Linked DNA regions of Macaca mulatta. The protein of the gene in region 1 purifies or fractionates together with the protein of each later gene. This does not show direct contact. Links are inferred from orthologs where the notes say so. Each region holds a gene or a part of one and is shown in the gene's direction. Other genes may lie near its edges.

Region 1 (4,724 bases):
TCCTGTAAGAAAATCTTTTGATTTGTTCTTTTATGTCAAACAGAAATAAACTTTATTGTGTGTTCTGATTATGCAGTGTGGAAAACATGCTCAATGTTAGAAAAAAATTCAGCCAGGGCAGAAGACTATAAAGAGAATTTGAGGATTAAAAAACAATTCTAGGACCTCGCATTTAATGTTTCTATAAAATTACTTCTTTAATAACAGCTTATTTTTAGCATATTCTATTTTTTTTTCTGCCTCTGATTTTATATGTAAACAAATCAACTAAGTTTTCTTGTCATTAATATCTTGCCAGTAAGGTAAGAACCAAAATGTTTGTTTATCAGGGATCATTTATAAAAAATTGCCAGTTCTTAATACAATGAATTAGTGCTTTCATTTTCTCCCTTGAATTTGTCATAGGCTTCTAGTTATAGTCATCATCATGGAAATGTTTTCAAAATTTGTTAATTTTGGACATTAACAAATTAGGCCAGGTGTGGTGTCTCATGCCTGTAATCCCATCACTTTGGGAGGCTGAGGTGGGTGGATCACCTGAGGTCAGGGGTTCGAGACCAGCCTGGCCAACATGGTGAAACCCTGTCTCTACTAAAAATACAAAAAAATTAGCTGGGTGTGGTGGCATGCGCCTGTAATCGCAGCTACTCAGGAGGCTGAGGCAGGAGAATCGCTTGAACCTGGGAGGCGGAGGTTGCAGTGAGCCAAGATTGCACCACTGCACTCCAGCCTGGGCAACAGAGTGGGACTCTGTCTCAAATAAATAAATAAATAAATTTTTTAAAAATAAGCAAGTTAACAAAATATATGTCTAATTGATGTTTATAAACTTTGTAACATTTTGCTAATCATCTCATGGGTAGATTTTTAGAAAGAAAATAGGTGAATTATTTTATCATTTTTATGAAATGTACAAAAATGAATTTAAAAAATCATACAAACAAATATTTTTGTTTTACTTTTTGTTAAATGTAATCTTAAATTTAACTTTCAGTCTGAAGACCTGATTTTGTGTCGGTTGACGGTCCCAAACTTTTCAAACCAGACTGCCTATCTGTATAACGAAAGTGCTGTCTATGTGTGCTCCACAGGAACTGGGAAATTTTCTCTTCCCCAGGAGAAAATTGTCTTTAATGCACAAGGTATGGTAGCAGTTTTAGAAAGCATGATTGGTGAGCTCATTAGTCATTCTGAGTGCTTTTTTTCTCTTTTCCTGAGTGTCACTTCAAGCATGCTGCCCTCAAATGTTACTCTGAGACATTTCATACCACAACTACAGCAGCTGAAGTGACAACCCTACTAAGAAACCAAAAGGGTACTAGAATTTCCAAACTATTATATTTACAGGCAAAAATAGTAACATTTGTTCCAGGAGAAGATGCCAAGAAGCAAAGAACTAATGCCAAGAGAAGTAATTGCTCATTCCTAGTTAGTAAAAGTGACTTATTCTGAGTTGATGCTCTTTAACTTTTCCACACCCCTGGATAAGAGCCTCAGGTGCTGGACTCGTGCAGGGGGGCCAGTCAGGATTGAAGAGAAACCAAGCAGATACTTAGCTGAAGGGGTTGAGCAGAGGACAGAGTCCAGGTAGGCAACAGCATAGAACCCAGGTTTAACAGCATGGAACCCAGGTTTTCTAGTCCCAGCACAAGAACCTTGATGGAGGGTGGGTAGGCTGTTACTAAGGCGCAAGGTAGGCTTAGACTTTTTTATTTTTTTTTCAGTCCCCGTTGACTGATGTGGTAAGTTAAAGTCAGAATTAAGCAAGAGAACTCCACAGGATTGAAAAAGCTCTTCTAAGTTTTGCAGAATGAATAATTTTTTTTTTTTTTTGGCTTACTAGATTGCTCTCTGGCAAGGCTAGTTTTTGTTGTCTTTAAAGCTGAAAGACACAGAGCCTGCTTCTTCAAACAGCAGCCGGTTCTTAACATTTGATTCTGGGATTTAAAGGATGAGTTTGAAGTAGGAATAATACTGTAAAGGAAAAAATGTGCTTAATATATCATCAAGATGATTTTCTGCCCAGGGTGGTAGGTTTTACAAAGCATTTTGTTGTTCTTGTTAAATGTATTTGACTCTATGTTTTTCTTTCTTTTAGGAGATAGTGTTTTAGGTGCTGGTGCCTGTGGTGGTGTTCCTATCATTTTTTCTAGAAACAGTGGACTGGTGTCTATTACTTCACGGGAAAATGTGTCCATATTGGCAGAAGACCTGGAAGAGTCCTTAGCATCTTCATTTGCTGGACCAAACAATGAGGTAATGTGATTCTATAAGATTTTGAAGTTTGTATGTTATTTATTTTTTAGAGATAGGGTCTCACGCTGTCACCCAGGCTAGAGTGCAGTGGCACAATCATAGTTCACTGCAGCCTCTAACTCCTGGCCTCAAGCAATCGTCCTGCCTCAGACTTCCCAGTAGGTGCCTGGCTAATTTTGGTTTGGTTTGGTTTGGTTTTTGAGACAGAGTCTCACTCTGTTGCCCAGGCTAGAGTGCAGTGGCATAATCATAGCTTACTGCAGCCTCACCTCAACCTCCCGGGATCAAGCAGTCCTCCCCTCTTAGCCTCCCAAATAGCTGGAACTACAGACATGCACCATCTCACCTAATTTTTTATTTTTTGTAGAGACAGGATCTCCCTATGCTGCCTAACCTGGTCTCAAACTCCTGGGCTCAAGCATCCTCCTGCCTCAGCCTCCCAAAGTGCTGGGATTACTGGCATGGAGCCACCATGCCCAGCCTAATTTTTATTTTTATCAGATTATTTTATACAAATGGTCTCAACACTGAGACAGTTTCAAAGACTTAACAATGCAGACATTAGTTCTTCTTGTCTTCCTCATCCCCTCTGTCCTCTTTGCCTGAAGCAACTACGTTTAAGCCTTTTAGTGATTTATTCTGGTATTTTTCTCCATATATCTAAGTAATGTACATATATTCCTGTCTCCTGATTCATCTGTTGATTTTCTACTATAGAAAATGAGGTTTTGGGTTACCTTATACTCCTTCCTCTGCCTTTATCATTCTAACATACATTTTTTCCATTGTAATGACAATGTGAATATTGTTTATGGTTTGCTGAGCCAAATACTGATTACATTTCCTTTATTATACAACTTTGTGTGACTCTTGGAGTGTATCATGACCTCATTTTATATTTTCTCACTTTCCTTTCATATGTGACTTAATCTTTTTACACACTCCGGGAGTTCTGTAGAGTGCCCCTCAGTGTGGTTTTTCCCAAAGTCAAGTCTCCACAAACCTTCCATCTGCACAGCTGTCATCCCGGAACTTCTCTCTTCCACGGTCCTCAAATCCTTGGGAGCTGTCCCTGCACCATGCATAGGTGGCCTCATTTCCTGTCAGTGCTGCCATTTCCTGTTCCTTCTGCTTTCTGTCTTCCTTTGTTGTAGTTAGAATCACAGATATTTCCATGAAACTTGTATTTCTGTTTCTTTTTATTCTGGGATGATTTTTTTGAGAGGAATAGCCAGGTAAAAATTACCAATTTTTTTTCCTGTTGTCTTGAAACCTGAAATATCCCATCCATGAGGTTTTTATCATTCTTTTACAGAAGACTAAAAATAATTAATACTGTTTGGGGTAATTTCCATTTGAATAGTGTATGAAATATATAGACTACCTCTATAATTCAAAATTAAAATGATTGAGTCTAGTTTTAAAGGAAAGTAACAATTTTTTACTTTTTTTTCTTTTCACAAAAAGGATTAATACTTTGGTTATTTTGTAATTGTATGGTTATTGTAATACTGTTACACATTCTGAAGCAATTTTAGTGTTCCTTTTCTTTAAAATTTTTCTAAATCCTTGTTTAAATTTGTAATCAACCATTATGCTTAGGTAGTATACACGGTGGTGAGTCGTGTAAGAGCAAACCTATAAAAAGATTCTGTTAATTGTGATGAAATCTCCAAATTGTTTTACTTACAGCATAATCCCCGAATTACCTGTACCTTTTCTGTATGACTGGTTGATCATTTGGTGCTATTTATAGTGTTTCAATAAGTATATGAATGACTGGTATAGACCAAGCTTGGTCAACCCACGACCCATGGGCTGCATGTGGACCAGGATGGCTTTGAATGCAGCCCAGCACAAATTTGTAAACTTTCTTGAAACATGAATTTTTTTTTAAAACTCATCAGCTATCATTAATGTTAGTGTATTTTATGTGTGGGCCAAGACAATTCTTCCAATGTGGCCCAGGGAAGCCGAAAGATTGCATACCCCTGGTACAGACAATATGGCAAACCGCTTGTGTATATGCAGAGTTGCTGTCATAGGATGGGTACAGTTTTTAGTCCAATAATTAAGAATATTCAGATGCCTTTACCTCTAAACTATACTTTGTTATTTTGCAGAGTATGATTTTTGAGACCACTACAAAGAATGAAACTATAGCCCAGGAAGATAAAATCAAGTTGCTGAAAGCTGCCTTTCTGCAATACTGCAGGTATAACATGTTTTTTAAGTTATGGATTATTTTATGTGTGAGGACATGTTTTACTGACATGTGCTACTTATTTATTGACTGGTGGGAGCAAGTTGGAGGAATGATGCTATCAAGAGGAGAATTTTTTTTGAGCTTTAGCACTTTAATAGACTGTTCTTCTGAATTTAGTAGCCATGGGAGGTTTCCAGCTAGCTAGGCTAGGGGAAAAAACATGGGATCTAACATACTCTCTCCACTTCATGAAAAACAACGT
Region 2 (5,341 bases), on another chromosome or scaffold:
GATCTCGGCTGACTGCAACCTCTGCCTCTGGAGCTCAAGCAATCACCCCAACCTCAGCCTCCCGAGTAGCTGGAACTATAGCATGTGCCACCACACCTGGATAATTTTGCTATTTTCTTTTTTTTTCTTTTTTTGAGACGGAGTCCCGCTCTGTCGCCCAGGTTGGAGTGCAGTGGCCGGATCTCGGCTCACTGCAAGCTCCACCTCTCGGGTTTACGCCATTCTCCTGCCTCAGCCTCCCGAGTAGCTGGGACTACAGGTGCCCGCCACTTCGCCCGGCTAGTTTTTTGTATTTTTTAGTAGAGACGGGTTTTCACCGTATTAGCCAGGATGGTCTCGATCTCCTGACCTCGTGATCCGCCCATCTCGGCCTCCCAAAGTGCTGGGATTACAGGCGCCCATCACGAAGTCCGGCTAATTTTTTTTTTTTTTTTTTTTGGTCACCCAGACTTGAGTGCAGTGGCACGATCTCGGCCGACTGCAACCTCTGCCTCCTGGGTTCAAACGATTCTCTTGCCTCAGGTGTCCGCCACCACGCCCAGCTAATTTTGTAATTTTAGTGGAGATAGGGTTTCTCCCTGTTGGTCAGGCTGATCTCGAACTCCCAACCTCAGGTGATCCACCCACCTCGACCTCCCAAAGTGCTGGGATTACAGGCGTGAGCCACCGCGCCCGGCCTAAATTTTGTATGTTTAGTAGAGATGGGGGTTTCCCCATATTGGCCACGCTGGTCTCGAACTCCTGAACTTGTGATCCACCCGCCTCGGCTTCCCAAAGTTTGGGGATTACAGGCGTGAGGCACCGCACCCTGCCCAAGCCCGGCTAATTTTTAAAATATTTTTAGTAGTGACGAGGTTTCATCATATTGGCCAGGCTGGTCTTGAACACCTGACCTCCAGTGATCCGCCCATCTCGGGCTGCCGAAGTGCTGGGATTAGAGGCTTGAGCCACCTCAAGCCTCTAATCCTTCAGGAGCATCGATTTTGTCCCCGTGCCTCTTTTTTTTTTTTTTTTTTTTTTTTGAGACGGAGTCTCGCTCTGTCGCCCAGGCTGGAGTGCAGTGGCACAATCTCGGCTCACTGCAAGCTCCGCCTCCCGGGTTCACGCCATTCTCCGGCCTCAGCCTCCCGAGTAGCTGGGACTACAGGCGCCCGCCACTGCGCCCGGCTAATTTTTTATATTTTTAGTAGAGACGGGGTTTCACCATGGTCTCGATCTCCTGACCTTGTGATCCGCCCGCCTCAGCCTTCCAAAGTGCTGGGATTACAGGCGTGAGCCACCGCGCCCGGCCTCCCCGTGCCTCTTGTGTGTGTTCTAGTGTGGGAGTGACGGCGACTGCTTTCCAGCACAAGCCCATTTGACTGGGTTTGGACAAGTGGCTGCTACGACACTAAGGTGGAGATAAGGATGGAGCGAGGACTCCCAGAGTTGGGAAAGCTTGCAGGCTTACTGGGACCTCAGTCCGGCACAAGTTCCCACCCAGGTGCCGCCGCCCCAGCCTACGCACGCGCAGTCGCACCGTCTCTGGCCAAGGGTTCCTCCTGCCCCGCCCGCCCTCTCCGGGGGCCTTCTCTCCGCTCGGCACCAGGGTGTCCGCGGCGCCGCCTGATCCCGTTAGCGCGGTACTGTGAGTGCAGTCCGTCCTCGGCGCTGTTTTCCCTGACTTGCTGTCGACGCCAGGAAGGAAGGACGCGCGCAGAGGACCGCAGAGGGGTGGCCGTGGCTGAGGGAAGAGAGCGCCGCAGCACTGAAGGTTTGGGCTTGCAGGCGCTGCAGGAGGCGCCCAGGCGGGGTCCTGTCTCTCAGCCAGCTCTGAGCGGGAGGCCTGAGCCGGAAGCATTGACGTCCCGGCGACTTCCCAGAGCCTGGGGTTCGGCGCTATGGAGGAGCTCGATGGCGAGCCAGCAGTCACTGTAAGGGCACCCCGAACAGGCTTGATCGTCCTTGTGGGTTGAGAACTGCGTCTGCTTCGTTACTTCAGGCTTGTCTGCTTCCCTACTGGCTGCGAGGCTCTCGTCCCCTTCCCTTGATTCAGTTGCCACTTTCCGGAGGTCGCAGTGTTAACTAGGTGCCCGACCTCGGGTCGTAGTGGTCGCGGGGTTTCTGCCACCAGTCACAAAGCCAGGCCTCGAAGGTCCCAGTCCGTCCCTTTCCTTCTTTTGTCTTGCTGACCTTTCTACTTCCCTCGCATTTCCTCTTGGGTATTAGAGTGGGTTCAGCCCAAGCAGAGGAATTTATGTTTTTCTTCCAGCCATATTAAGCTCTGCATCGCGGCACGTTGAGTTCTGCTTGTGTGACCTAAGGTTTATTAAACGTATTATCTCAGGAGACTATTCATATTTTATCGCTGTGCATTCAATTCCATTTGAACTTTGAAGAGAGTATGTCAACTGTGGATGATCTGTGATGTGTATAAAAAAAATTCATGGACTTTATGTGCGACATACCTACCGTTTCTGCTACTTGGAATGCTTTTGTTTTCCCTCTTTCTCTTGTTAACCGCTGACTGAGGCAGGTCTCAACCGATGAAGGTTTATTTAGCTAAGGTTGAGGATCCAACCGGGAAAAAACACAGGTCCCAGGAGGATCTGAGACTTGTGCTTTTTCCAGAGATGGTTTTGGGAACATCAGTAGTTAAAGAGGAAGGAACTAGCAGGAGGGGCAAAAAAGGGAGGTTAGGCAGTGAAGAGGCAAATGGTTACATTCTTGTGAGTCTCTGATTAGCCTCAGTAAATCTGCATTTTACCTGTGAAAAGAGGGAGTAGAGGAAAAATTTATGTATGCATTCATCTCAGGGTAGGTAGAGGGATGGTTTCATTTCTTTTTTTTTTTTTTTCTGAGACGGAGTCTCGCTCTGTTGCCCAGGCTGGAGTGCAGTGGCGCCCCTCTGGGCTCACTGCAAGCTCGGCCTCCTGGGTTCACACCATTCTCCTGCCTCAGCCTCCCCCAGTAGTTGGGACTACAGGCGCCCACCACCACGCCCGGCTAATTTTGTTTTGTATTTTTAGTAGAGACGGGATTTCACCGTGTTAGCCAGGATGGTCTGGATCTCCTGACCTCGTGATTTGCCCACCTCGGCCTCCCAAAGTGCTGGGATTACAAGTGTGAGCCACTGCGGCTGGCCTCTTTCTTTTTTTGAGACGGAGTCTCACTTTGTCACCAAGGGTGGAGTGCAGTGGCGCCATCTCAGCTCACTGCAACCTCTGGCTCCCAGGTTCAAGCGATTCTTCTACCTCACCCTCCTGAGTAGCTGAGATTACAGGTGCGTGCCACCACACCCAGCTAATTTTTATATTTTTGGTAGAGATGGGGTTTCACCATCTTGGTCAGGCTGGTCTTGAACTCCTGACCTCGTGATCCGCCTACCTCAGCCTCCCAAAGTGTTGGGATTACAGGCGTGAGCCACCACACCTGGCTAGGAGTTCGAGACCAGCCTGGCCAACATGGCGAAACCCCGTCTCTACTAAAAAAAATACAAAAATTAACCTAGCGTGGTGGCGCATGCCTGTAATCCCACCTACTCAAGAAGCTGAGGCAGGAGAATCGCTTGAACACAGGAGGCAGAGGTTGCAGTGAGCGGAGATCGTGAGATCGCGTCACTGCACTCCAGCCTGGGCAACAAGAGTTCGAACTCCTGGCCGGGCGCGGTGGCTCAAGCCTGTAATCCCAGCACTTTGGGAGGCCGAGACGGGCGGATCACAAGGTCAGGAGATCGAGACCATCCTGGCTAACACGGCGAAACCCCGTCTCTACTAAAAACACAAAAAATTAGCCGGGCGAGGTGGCGGCGCCTGTGGTCCCAGCTACTCGGGAGGCTGAGGCAGGAGAATGGCGGGAACCCGGGAGGCGGAGCTTGCAGTGAGCTGAGATCTGGCCACTGCACTCCAGCCTGGGCGACAGAGCGAGACTCCGTCTCAAAAAAAAAAAAAAAAAAAAAAAAAGAGTTCGAACTCCTGACCTCAGATGATCTGCCCACCTCAGCCTCCCAAAGTGCTGGGATTACAGGTGGGAGCCACTGTGCCCAGCACAAAATGAATTTTTCTTACTAGTGTTATAAGAAAATGTTATTGAAGGATACAATGTTATTACAGGACCAGCTGTGCTCTTCACTTAAAGTGTTTTTCAGCCAGGCCGGCATGGTGGAAAGTGTTTTTCAGCCAGGCGGGCACGGTGGCTCACGCCTGTAGTCCTAGCACTTTGGGAGGCTGAGGCGGGTGGATCACCTGAGCTCGGGAGTTTGTAACCAGCCTGGGCAATATGGTGAAACTCCATTTCTACTAAAAATGAAAAAAAAAAAAAAGCCGGGTATGGTTGCACACATCTATAGTCCCAGCTACTCAGGAGGTTGAGGCAGTAGAAGACCTTGAACCCAGGAGGCGGAGATTGGAGTGAGCTGAGATTGTGCCACTGTACACCAGGCTGGGAGACAGAGTGAGTCGTTGTCTCAAAAAAAAAAAAAAAAAAAAAGAATAGAACGACTTCAGTAAGAAGAACATTCTTCATTTTAGATTTCTATGTCTTATTTTACTAGGTGATTCCAGGTGTGAATTCCAAGAAGAACCAAATGTGTTTTGACTGGGGTCCAGGGGAGATGCTGGTGTGTGAAACCTCCTTCAGCAAAAAAGGTAGGGGTTTTTTTTGTTCCAAATTGTCCATCTTGGTACATCTGGTTGTTTTTCTGTTTATTACCTCAGATTTGACTAGTTGTGGACTGAAACAATTGAATTTGTTTTGTACCATTTTAATTTTCTTTATTTTGTTTTCAAGATACAACAGGGTTTTGTTGTGTCACCCAGGCTGGAGTACAGTGCGATCATGGCTCACTGCAGCCTCTACCTCCTGGGCTCAAGTGATCCTCCACCTCAGTCTTCCTGGTAGCTGAGACTACAGGTCACCGTGCCCCCATACCCAGCTAATTTTTTTTTTTTTTTTTGTAGAGATGGGAGTCTCGTTTTGTTGCCTAGGCTGGTCTCACACTTCTGACCTCGAGTGATCCTGCTGCATTTTGGCATTTTTATTTTTGAAATGTTAGCTATTTTAGATTTTCATTGATTTTTGAGATCTTGAAGATGTTGAATCCTGGAAAAAAATTAACAGTAGTTTTCATGAAAAATTTTCTTCATATTTAAAATGTCAAGCTTTTTATCTGTTTTTCTTTGTCCAAAGTGACCAAATTCCTCAGTAGCTTCCTTATTGTGAACCTTGCAGATGCTTGGCCATCACTTTTGTGTCCACAGCATGGATTCAGCTGAATAATAGTTCTGTAGGCTGAGCTAGCATCCAAAGCACAGATGGAGCTGGAGAGTGACATAGCTTGTCCTTGGCTTGATTTTCTAAGTTC

What was found. The genes of interacting proteins can lie anywhere in the genome.
Region 2: the proteins of NUP133 (region 1) and NUP85 purify together in Homo sapiens (affinity purification with mass spectrometry; 5 studies listed by BioGRID and IntAct, with this or other methods). This does not show direct contact. The link is inferred for Macaca mulatta from reciprocal best matches to the Homo sapiens genes NUP133 and NUP85.

The regions. Positions count from the first base shown.
Region 1 is NC_133406.1:19,558,271-19,562,994, forward strand, and holds part of NUP133 (nuclear pore complex protein Nup133), read left to right. Parts: intron 1-994; coding exon 995-1,142; intron 1,143-2,098; coding exon 2,099-2,256; intron 2,257-4,379; coding exon 4,380-4,471; intron 4,472-4,724. UniProt on the Homo sapiens protein: Involved in poly(A)+ RNA transport. Involved in nephrogenesis.
Region 2 is NC_133421.1:84,893,644-84,898,984, forward strand, and holds the start of NUP85 (nuclear pore complex protein Nup85), read left to right. Parts: upstream 1-1,838; 5' UTR 1,839-1,880; coding exon 1,881-1,913; intron 1,914-4,531; coding exon 4,532-4,625; intron 4,626-5,341. UniProt on the Homo sapiens protein: Essential component of the nuclear pore complex (NPC) that seems to be required for NPC assembly and maintenance. As part of the NPC Nup107-160 subcomplex plays a role in RNA export and in tethering NUP96/Nup98 and NUP153 to the nucleus.